3 linked regions of the Pelodiscus sinensis genome follow. The protein of the gene in region 1 binds, or shares a complex with, the protein of each later gene. Links are inferred from orthologs where the notes say so. Each region holds a gene or a part of one and is shown in the gene's direction. Other genes may lie near its edges.

Region 1 (3,749 bases):
ATATGCAAACACATTAATGACAACATGAATATGCAAATATTCCATTGCCAGTCCTCCAGCAGTTTTTGGATGAGTTTGCTGGTCCTCAGTATAAAAAAGATTTGGAACCGCTGGGTTAGGACATAAATGTCTGCTACTCTGTCTATAGTGGGCTATCACAGATTCTTAAAGATGTCATAAAGTACAATTCTGTTATTCTTATTATCATTATTGTAGCTTCCATGCTAAAAGCAGTAGAGTCTCTTATGATTGAATTCCAACTGTAATTATAGCTTCTGCCTTTTCAGTGCTCACAACTTCCTCAAACATATTTCTTTTAAGTGTGAATTGTCCTAGAAAGTTTGAGTAAAATCTTTACAGGTGTTTTTGGGTAGTGGCTTCATGGAATTATTTACTAGCTGAGTTTAATTAATAAATATTTATATGATTATATAGGAGCTGTATGCACATGCTGACCACAAAGGAATTATTGGGAGGAAAACATAATAAATACATAGAATTTGACCAGGGGGGCAGAGTTACTTTTATGTTCACTCAGTTGCTGAATCAGGCCCTGTTAAAATAGATTTTACATCCATCCGTTTCCATGATGAAAAACGACCATTTTAGAACCTCATCCTGCAAAGACCATGGGACTAAAGGTGTCCCTAAATCTTTGCAGGATTTATTCACCTTGAAAAAGGAAGAAATGCTTCTTTTACCACTATATTTGCAAAACAATAGGCAGTTCGCATTATTGCAAGGTCATAATGTTTTCCTAAAATGACAATTGGAAACCTTCAAAAAACGAAAAGAGAAGAAAACACTCCAAAACATATGCTCTTTTTCATTCACAAGCGCTGAGAGTTAAAGGAAGTCAAAAGCATCCAGCCTCCCTTACTACTTTTGTTACGTGGTATCTGTTCTAGAACCAGGAGATTGAAATTACTGTAGGTTTGTGTCGGTGCAATTTAATCTCACAGGCAGGAGCTGGCGCTTTGCATTGTGGTAGTTGTAGTCATTTTTCCTTTCAGCTACTATTAAATATAGATGGGAGGCGAATTTCTGTGAACTACAATTCCCAGGACCTCATGGCATTTTTTTTCCAGGGAACTTTGCAAACGTGATGGAGGAAGTTGAAAATGTCAGCGAGCACAGGGTAATGTAGGTTTCTCGATTAAAGTAAATCAACAAGGTAAAAGCAAATTCAAATTGAGAGATTGCTCCAATTCTGTTTCACTAAAGGGACAGCACCTTCATTGCACACACTATGTATGCGTTGCTTAGGTGCAGATTACATTAAGTTAAGATCTTTCCTGCAATAATCAAGGGAGGGTTTAGTTCAACTAATCTACATAGATCTTTGTTTGTTGGTAACATACTAAGACTTGTTTTGCCTCATGATGTTTTCTCCTTCGTTTACACGAGTTATTAAATGCAGCGAGAAGTTACAAGGCTCGACAGGAAAGTGGTTGCTTGCCCTCCATGGGAAAGTGTTTCTAAGGACTTGGCGGTGTTTTATGTGGGGGCAGGAATTTTCCCACATAGAATCTGTGTTGCGTCCTCGTATGCTTTTCCAAGGTGCAAAACAAAATATCTGGACCCAGGAAGGATCCCTCAGAGCTGGGAATAACAGCAAACAAGTGTCTGTGCAAAGAAGTCACAAAGGAGGCGCACCCGTGTCGGCTGCTCAGAAAGGTAAGTGAAAGTGAAGCTATGGCCAATATTAATTAGCAACTTGCATTGGTTTTAAATAGCAGTGACCATCTACAGCCCTACAACTGAGGAATATAAAACTGATTCCCACAGCTGCAACTCATCCCCTGGTTTATACATTGCATTTTTTAGCATAACTTTATACAGAGTTGACTTTTAACTGGTATGTGTGTATTACACACTCACAGGCTGTGTCTAGACTGGCAAGTTTTTCCGCAAAAGCAGCTGTCTACACTGGCCGCTTGAATTTGCGGAAGAACACTGACAATCTAATGTAATATTGTCAGTGTTCTTCCGCAAATACTATGCTGCTCCTGTTCGGGAAAAAGCCCTCTTGCACAAATGTAGTTGCGCAAGAGGGCCCGTGTAGACAACTAAAAACTGTTTTGTGCAAAAAAGCCCCGATGGCAAAAATGGCGATTGGGGCTTTCTTTTGCAAAACCGCGTCTAGATTGGCATGGACGCTTTTCCGCAAAAAGTGCTTTTGCGGAAAAGCGTCCATGCCAATCTAGACGCTCTTTTCCGCAAATGCTTTTAACGGAAAACTCTAGATGTAGCCAATAGGTAAGTGGCAGGCTTCTTATAGGTAGGCTAATTGGAACAGGCCTAATATGTTTTGTAGGGTCCACATAAGTAACACACAGTGCTCTCCATCTGTCTCCCCAGTTATGGTTGGATCCCCTTGCATGCAGAAGTTTAACACTACATTCCTATTCTCTTGCCTTCTGCCTGCCTGCAGTCAGCTTTTAGCACCACTCCAGCCTTGGAGAAAAAATAGGAAAAAAAAATAAACCTAATCAGCAATATTTGGGTTAAAGGCTGATACAAATTCAAATGTTAACTCTTCTAAAATAATTTTCTTCCTCCAAACACACATCACATTTTCTTATTACCATTGTAACAAAAAAGCAGTCTTTAGGTGAGGAAGAGTGGCTTTGTACCTAATAATTTCCAAATCTATGTATTAGATTAATATTTGATATCAGTTTCATCAGTCCCTCTTTAATGTGGAGATTGCAACTCACCTCTAAGGATTTCTTCCACTTGGCCACAGTGATCTTAGATTGCACAGCATCCATTGATTAATATGAAAAAACCAGAAAGGAATGTAGAGGTGATTTAAACCCTGTACATTAGGGATGTGAAAGTGTAAACATATACCTGGTTAACGGTTGAGCCTGGGCTCATCAGTTAATCTTCACAATTACATGCAGGCCACCCCTCTCCCACTGTTGCCTCTGTATCAGCGGCTATAGCGGAGGGCAGGTGAGGCAGGAGCTGGTGTTCGTGCATACCAGCTCCCGCAGAGCCTCCTATTCCCCCATCCCCTCACTGTTGCCTCTGTGTAAGAGGCAGCAGGGGGGAAAGCAGGTGGGACCCGGTGCTCAGGGGGAGTTAGCTGGCTCTGCAAGTGCTAGCTCCCGCTTGCCTCTGCCCCCTTTCCTCAACCTGTAAACATGTAATTACTGATTTTTTTCACTGCTTACATATTTACCTGAATAAACACATTTTCATGTCCCTGATATAAATTCTACATCCATGTCATTTCCTGAAGATTAAAACTGGCTTAGTTTAGTGAATTAAGAAAGTGATTTCCAGACATTGGTCCATTTGCTAGTTGCCTGCAGAGAGATGGCTGATCACATGGTACTGGCACCTCCTTTGTAGCTAATACAGTTACAAAAAATAGTGAATGTTTTTCTGGTAGTGTTTTTCCATGTATGTAATCAGGGTAGTTGCCACCAATGACCAATGTTGCCATTTGATCACCAATAGAAGGGGAGACAACCCAAATTGTTTCAAAAGGGAAGGAAGAAGCAATGTAAGAGGCTTTGGTATAGTCCATAGTGGAGATCCCACTTTTCAGCCATCTCAGCTGTATTACTCTCCAAGAACCATCTTCGTCTTTCATAATTATTTGATTAATTTTCAATCTAATAGGAACGTGCTGAACCATATAATTCTATTTCTCTGACCTAATGTTGAGGCCAACAAGTGTGGTTGTTCCCCCCCCCCCCTTCACTATTTAATGAAAATCATCTTACAAATATAAA
Region 2 (3,749 bases), about 91 Mb from region 1:
ACAGCTAAAATAGTAAATGAACACTTTGTACTGGTTAGGGATGTGAAAGCTTAACTGGTAATGCTTACCGGGTGCAGGGAGCTGCTCCAGCCCCTCGGGGCTCACCATGGGCAGGGGCTGCTCCAGCTTCCTGGAGAAATCTCTGTTGATGGCACCCCGTTCCCCACTGCAGGTTACACGCTGACTCCCTGGGAGTGGGGCCAGCTGCTTTTCTGTGGCAGAGAAGCCGCCTCCCTGGGAGTGGAACTGGCAGGGACTGGCAATCCTGCTGCCAGGGAGGCTTCGTTGCAGGCTATGCAGTGTAAAGCTTATTTATTAATCTAACAGTGCTTAACATTGCTTGTTCTTTGCATTCATCAGTAATAAAAAACTGCATTTTATCTGTTTTTATTCTGCAGTTACACTGATTGGATGGCAATGAACATACTTTTGAACTTCCCAGGATGCATTTGGGAAATTGTTATGCAGTATGAGGCAACCCTTGGGTTAATCTGTCACGCAATGTTCCTCTCTGAAACTGCCACAACTTATGAACGAGTTACGTACCAAGCACTTGGTCATAACTCGATCTGTTCGTAAGTCGGATTACATTCACTTACGTATGGCCGCGCTGTTCATAAGTGCAGCTTTCGTTCGTAACTCAGATATCGGCTGTATAGGAGGCTGATCGTAAATACAAATGGTCGTAAGTCGATGCATTTGTAACTCAGGGACCGGCTGTATTTTGTTTTCTACAGGTTGGACCTCTCTGGTCTGTCATCCTTGGGATCTGACTGGTCCCGGACCAGGGGTGGTCCCTCCCCTAATGGTCCATGCTAAACTGCTGTTCCCCTTCCCCTGCTGCTTTCCCCATTGCTCCCTGACAAACCCTCACTCCCTGAGCTAGAGCTCTCCAGCTCCCATTCTCCCAGCTTCTGCCAGGGCCGGAGCTGCATGGCTGTGGTGCGAACTTCTTGGCTGCAGTTGGGGCTGGAGCTACATGGCTGGGGCTGGAGCTTCACAGACTACCCCCCCACAAGACTTCTGGGTGAGTCTCTCTCTCCTGCTTCACTTCCCCCCTCCCCCCATGTTACTGGCTCGTGGCCAGACCTCCTTACTCCTGGAATCTGTGGTCCAGGAACATCTGTAGTCCTGCCAGACCACGGATGTTGCTGGATCTGAAAGTCCTGGCTAAGGGAGGTACAACCTGTAGTGTATCGGTTTTCATTTTTTAAAATGAAACTCAGGCTTTGTCTGATTGCTCTGCAGTTTGGATTACTATAAAAGTGTTAATAGCAGCAGGTTGAAATGCTGCCACAGAACTCCCCTGTGTAGACCCTACGAGTGTGAACTGCTTTGCATTAATATGGTTCAGTTTGAAGAGGACTGTGCTAATGTAAACTAGGAACTCTAGTTTTGATCACATGGGGAAGTTACAGCACAACACTTTGATCTACACTGCTATTCACTCCCCACTAGTCCTAATTGGGGGACAGTGTAGGCAAGCATGTAGTTGCTGTTTGTTATGTTGAGAAAAAAACATCAAAATGTTAACTAGGTGCAGCTAGAATAGAGATATCTGTGTCAGTTTGAAAAGAGACTGGAGCAATAGCTGAGAAGTGTGAACTGCCCCATTCATTTCAGTGTGTTTACTCAGATCCTAGTGTGGTACTTAAATGTCAACATAGTTAACTATTTAATTTTGCATGTAAGGAGAGGAATAATCGCATGTCTGTACAATGTTTCCATGAGTCATGTCTCATTTTAGTGCCACAAGAAGTGAGGTGATGGTGGGCTACCAATATCACTACATACTATTTTCACCCATTAAAAAGAAAACCAAGTCCAGCTTGCCCAACAGAGCCCGTGGATGTACGGGAGCCCCTCTGAAGAGGAGAAAAGCTCTAGGAGCCTTTGAAGTAGGAATAAGAGATCCTCCAGAATAGGGCTTTATTCCGGAGGATCGGGCCAGTCTAGATGCTCTTTTCCGGCTTTTCTACAAGCTGGAAAAAAGCGGCGGATATCTTTATTTAAATCCCGCGGGGGATATTTAAATCCCCTGCAGATTTCCCTATTACGAAGTTTAAAATTAGCATGCCCCTTTCGGAAAAGGGGCCAGTGTAGACGTAGCCCTAATGTATGAAGTTACGTACTTAGAATTTTTTCAGGGAAGGCTCTTGCCTTTCTTGATGGCTATGCTGCACTTCAGTATTATGTTCAGTTAAAAAGTCTTTTTAGGGACTCAGTTTCTCATTATACACTTACAAAATTTGAGGGCCAGCTGCACTATTCTACTATGTGAATGGTGTAGAGTCATGACACATTAAAAAGATAGTGGAGGAAAGGAAAGACATTTCAGTGTAAAGGCAGGAAAAGACAAGGAAGCTAAGAGTTAGAAGTTAAAGAGTAGAGAGTCAGGAATAGAACTGGAGAAATAGTTAAAGGATAATTCAAAATGGAAAGGAAAAAGAAGAGTGGTGCAAGAGATAATTCAACAAATAGCCTTTTTAATGGCTTTTCATTTTTATTTCGTTTCTGTTAAGTAGAATAGAGATTCGGCACAGAAAAGAAATTTTAGGAACAGTCCACTTTCAAGATGGAAAATTGGATAACAGCCTTTCTGTGTCTTGTTTATACCCTGGCCAAAGGACAGAGAAGTGTTTGATGGAATGTTCTGGAACTCCTCTGGGAAATAAGATATCAAATAAATAAATTATATAAGTACCTGGACAGAGAGTGAAGTAGTATGCAATGCAGTTTAAAAAGATTCTTCACAGATGAACATACTATAACCCCAGAGTTCTCACCCTTTTACATCTCAGGATCACCTATATAGCAATATGCGAAGAGCAGGAATACACAACTAAGTGTGTTTTGACCATTTAAACTGGTATTTAGAGTCCTGCACAGATACATATATGTGGATCCGCCTCCGCCAGGCTCATTCTGTTATCTGATCCGCAAGCTGGATTTTATCTTCATACACATCTGCAGGGTGGCAGCAGCAAGCTGTCTTTAGAGGGTAGGTGGGAGGAAGCACAAATGAGTGAGGAGGGGACAGGGTCTTGCAGGGAAGAGGGAGGCAGCATGGGAACAAGGACTCTGAGTAAGGAGCAGCATAAGGGCAGGATGAGGGTCTCAGGTAGAGGTGGGAATGGATTTGCATTGTGTGCTTTTGCTGCTGGGGTGGGGGGTGTTCATCAGCAATGGTACCTGGTAGCAGCAGCTTCTGTGAGATCACAGCAGGGCAGAGGGGTACAGAGTTGGGCCGTCGCCCGCCCCAGTCTCCATGGCAGAGGGTGGGCCGTGCTGCCCTGCAATTGGCCGAGCCTAGGGCACTGCACCCGCTTCCCCCCATAGCTCCAGCCCCACAGAGCTGGACCCTCCCCTCTCTGAACAGGGCAGCTTGCTGTTATGCTGAGAGTCTTCCTCCTCTCCCAGAAGTGAGCCACCTCCCCCATGCATGCTCCCAGCTGCACTAGATGACAGTACGGAACAGCAGTGTGGGGCAAGTGGGCCCCTGGTTCGCCACAGGTCACTGTTGATTGGGTGTGGGGGCAAGGCTGGTACTCAGCTTCTTGTGCAGGGAAATTTGGGAACCAGTTGGCACTCTCTCCTTGCTGGCAGCAGGGGGCCTACGCTGGCATCCTGCCTTAGCTGGACAGCCGGGTACAGTTGGAAGAGACCCCTGTGCAAGTATTGGTGCCATTATCTGTGAAAATGGTCCATGGATATCCGCATTTGCGGTTGTGAACCGGCTATCCAGAGCT
Region 3 (3,749 bases), on another chromosome or scaffold:
TTTTTTATATATACCCCTCATTTTGGAACATTATAGCCACAGACCATAATGGTGGTGCCATTTTACTTCATCAGAAGTCAGCTTTCCAAAAGGAACCCCATCCTACACTTGTTTTCAATGGGGCATACTCCAAAATTAAGTGCACTCTAAACAGCCAATCTTAGCTTTTTTGGTAACTTGGCATCAGAGCTGCATAAAAATGACAGTGGTATTGGGGAAGAGAGCTAGTTGTAGAAGTTTTAAGGATACTGTAGAGTTAGTGTTCTGATGACTTGTCTGTCTGAGTTAATAAAATTTGAAAATTAAAAAAAAGTGTAAGGACAGCCAACAACTCAGAAGATTGCTGCGATTGCAAATGTGAAACATTCATGGAACATTTCAGATTTAGTTGAATAAAATATAAGTACTATTGTGTTTGTGTGTGTAATTTAGTTTTTACTATTCCTAAAGTACTGCTGCTGCACGGCACACATAATGGCTGTGTCTAGACTTGCCGTTTTTTCCCGGAAAATCAGCCGCTTTTCCGGAAAAACTTGCCAGCTGTCTACATTGGCCACTTGAATTTCCGCAAAAGCACTGACTTCCTACTGTAAGAAATCAGTGCTTTTTGCAGAAATACTATGCTGCTCCCGTTGGGGCGAAAGTCCCTTTTGCGCAAAACTGTTGCGCAAAAGGGCCAATGTAGACAGCTGAGATTTGTTTTCCGCAAAAATGGCGATCGGGGGCTTTTTTGCGCAAAAGCGCGTCTAGATTGGCCATGGACGCTTTTCCGCAAAACGTGCTTTTGCGGAAAAGCGTCCGTGCCAATCTAGACGCTCGGTTCCGAAAATGCTTTTAACGGAAAACTTTTCCCTTAAAAGCATTTCCGGACAATCATGCCAGTCTAGACGTAGCCAAATGTACCATTTCCTAAAAAAAAAAATTAAAAAAATACACGAGGTGTAACCCTCTTGGATGTTGTAAAATGCTGCCCTGAGCTGTCAATTAACATGGTTTAGTGATCAGATTCGCACCCCTGTTTGAATAAATGGGTGAGGTGGCAGCAGTGGGAAATGGAGGTGAAGCACTGACTTAAATCGCCTTGACTTGCATCGAGCCCACACACAGCAGGGGAGGGAGGAGGCAGCGGACCCCTTCCCTGTGCACCGCGGGCGGGATCTAGCGGGGAACCCTCCCCCAGGCTCATACTTCCTCCGGCTTGGACCCCCCGCCCCCTCCGGGGCCTCTCGCCCCTCCCCTCCCGCTTGCCTTGTTGCCCGGCTCGACGAGGCGCAGCACCGGGTGCTGCTGCAGGAAGCGCTGAACCTCCTCGGGCACCTCGCACATGGCAACGCAGGGAGCCAGCCGGAAGTCCGGAGCCTGGAACCGGAACCATAGAGAAGAGCGGGCGGACGGACACCCTCCCACTTCCGGTGGGAGCCGGAAGAGGAAGCGGGCGCGTGCTACCCCGGGGCAACTCGCTGAGGGGACCCCCCCCCCCCACCACCGCCATGGCCGGGTGGAGCCGGTTGTTGCTGCGGCTGCCGCCCAGGCTCAGCTGCCAGGTGAAGCCGCGGGGTTGCGGCGGGGTTTCAGGGGGGCTGTGCCCGGCTGCCCGCCCTTCGCTCCCGCTGCAGGCTGGGGGGAGACGGGCCCAGCCCCTTTGCCCCCCCCCCCCCGGCCTGAGCGCGTCACATCGACCAGCCTGGGCCCGCCCAGCCTCGGGCGTGTGAGGGGAATGTCTCTCCTCAGCCGGGGGCCACGTCACGGAGTGTGCGTCCCCCTCCTCCCCCGACTGACTTTTCTGTGGGTCAGCGGCCCCCGACCCCCAAAAACTCCCCCGCCCTTGTCCTAGTGGGCTCAAGGGGGGAGTGTTTCATTGTGCAAGACACGTGGCCTGTGTCCAGCGGGTTAAAATGTCCCATTGAAACACAATGCACGGGGGAGGGGAGAGGATCATTCATCACAAAAGGGAAGGTCAAAATAACCAGGAGCCCTGTGGCTCATTAGATACTAACTGATTTATTTGGGCACAAGCTTTTGTGGGTAAAACCAGTTCGTCAGATGCTGGCAAACGGGAACGTGTACAATGGCGGCTGTCAACGACTCTCCATCTGTCTAGTCACTGAAAAGTCGCGCAGCATTCTAATCCGTTCCAAAATCTTCGAAGGATTCATTAAATTCTAAGTGTTTATTACTGCAGGGTTATCGACCACACAGTGTGTTTCCTAAGTGTTTAGTTAATGTTTCTGACTTCCTGTGAGCCTAGGCCAGTGCTGAACACGTCCTAGTTGCTCTGCTTGCATCTGCAGTCAATGCCATCACTTCTGGAAGGTTTTGTGTTTTATTTTTGTAAACTCGATGTTGAGCTTGTGAGATGACAGAAGGCCAGAGAGAAATGGGACCTCTTGTCAGGGATTGATCAGCAGCATCCAGATCTAAATGAAGCTAGTTCTAAAATTTGACCAATAAAGACTGACAGCTGTCAGTGTGTTATTAATCAACATGGTATTGCTGGTAGGAGACAAGTTATTTGAATCTGGCCGTGGCTGTTAAGTGGTAATATGCCATTTGATTTAATGAAGATCCAAAGTTATGAAATACCAGAACTCTGATGACATTTATATTTAGCAATGTGAAAGGTTAATGGCTAAGCATCATCCAGTTAAGGGTTACCCGTTGGGGGTTGGAACAGCTCCCTGCCTACCGCAGGCAGGGGCCCACTCCAGCCTCATGGGTCCTGTCATGGAATGAGGCACTCCAGCCCACGCAAGCCCCTTTAATTGGTTAACCAGTTAAACCAGGTAAGGACAATAATTTTTGATGGGGGGGCAACTCCAAAAAATTTTGTAAGTGATCAAGGACCACACTCTACCATTATATTAATGGAGGAGGTGCGGGGGTCTGGTATGGAGGTTGGTTGCAGAAGTGGTTGTAGGGTAAGGGATTGGGGTGTGAGACCTGTGAGGGAGTTTGGGGGAAAAGGGGATTGTGACCTGGGGCAAAGGACTGGGTTGAGGTGGAGGTGCAGGGTTTGGGAGGGGAGTATAACCTGGGGTAGGGGTGCAGAAATTTGGGTTGTGACCTGGGACAGGGGAATGGTGTGCAGGGTCTGGGTTGAGTATGGATGCAGGAGAGAATTCTGGTCCCGGGGAGGGATGTAGGAGGAGAACGTGCTGGGCTTAGGAGGTGGTTGTGACCAGGGGAGTAGTGCAAGACAGGGTGCAGGGATTTGAGTTGTGCTGGGAGCAGCAGATTGGGGTGCAAGGTCTGAGAGGGGGTTGTGACCTGAGGAGGTAGTAGGAGGGGGATGCAGTGTCTGGAAGGTGTATAGGGGCTTTGGCAGGAGTACAGAAGGTTTGAGTTACATGGGGTAGGGAGAGAGAGGCTGGGGAGCCAGAGACAGGCTCTGGTTGGGAGACCTTACCTGGCTCCCAGCCAGCAGCCCAGCAGTTTTCTTAGCCAGGGGCCCTGCTTTCCAACCCCTGTATATTCTCAGGGGAGCTGCAGAAGCCATGTTTACTGGTCTGAATGGAATGATGTATGGGGGGATGAGGGAGGAGGGTCACTTCACATGCTGCCTGTCCTGCAAGCAGGCAGCTGCTATTGTCTGAAACCAGCCAATGGGTGCTATTGGGGTAGGGGCAGCATGAGAAGCCTGGCTCCCCTCCCTCCAGACTGTCAGCATTCAGAAACTCCCAGGTGGCCCTGCAGCTGGCTTTCCAGAATGTCAAGCAGGGGCAGGGCAGGGCAGGCAGGGAACTGGCTGA

Evidence for each region.
Region 2: TIMM21 (region 1) and CMC1 share a complex: the UniProt entries of both Homo sapiens proteins name them as parts of the MITRAC (mitochondrial translation regulation assembly intermediate of cytochrome c oxidase complex) complex. The link is inferred for Pelodiscus sinensis from reciprocal best matches to the Homo sapiens genes TIMM21 and CMC1.
Region 3: TIMM21 (region 1) and SURF1 share a complex: the UniProt entries of both Homo sapiens proteins name them as parts of the MITRAC (mitochondrial translation regulation assembly intermediate of cytochrome c oxidase complex) complex. The link is inferred for Pelodiscus sinensis from reciprocal best matches to the Homo sapiens genes TIMM21 and SURF1.

Annotation. Positions count from the first base shown.
Region 1 is NC_134712.1:95,704,228-95,707,976, forward strand, and holds the start of TIMM21 (mitochondrial import inner membrane translocase subunit Tim21), read left to right. Parts: upstream 1-1,088; 5' UTR 1,089-1,379; coding exon 1,380-1,677; intron 1,678-3,749. UniProt on the Homo sapiens protein: Participates in the translocation of transit peptide-containing proteins across the mitochondrial inner membrane.
Region 2 is NC_134712.1:186,372,330-186,376,078, reverse strand, and holds the start of CMC1 (COX assembly mitochondrial protein homolog), read left to right. Parts: upstream 1-893; 5' UTR 894-933; coding exon 934-1,027; intron 1,028-3,749. UniProt on the Homo sapiens protein: Component of the MITRAC (mitochondrial translation regulation assembly intermediate of cytochrome c oxidase complex) complex, that regulates cytochrome c oxidase assembly.
Region 3 is NC_134732.1:16,715,827-16,719,575, reverse strand, and holds the start of SURF1 (surfeit locus protein 1), read left to right. Parts: upstream 1-1,397; 5' UTR 1,398-1,490; coding exon 1,491-1,544; intron 1,545-3,749. Other genes in the region: SURF2 (surfeit locus protein 2), read right to left, coding at 1,249-1,326. UniProt on the Homo sapiens protein: Component of the MITRAC (mitochondrial translation regulation assembly intermediate of cytochrome c oxidase complex) complex, that regulates cytochrome c oxidase assembly.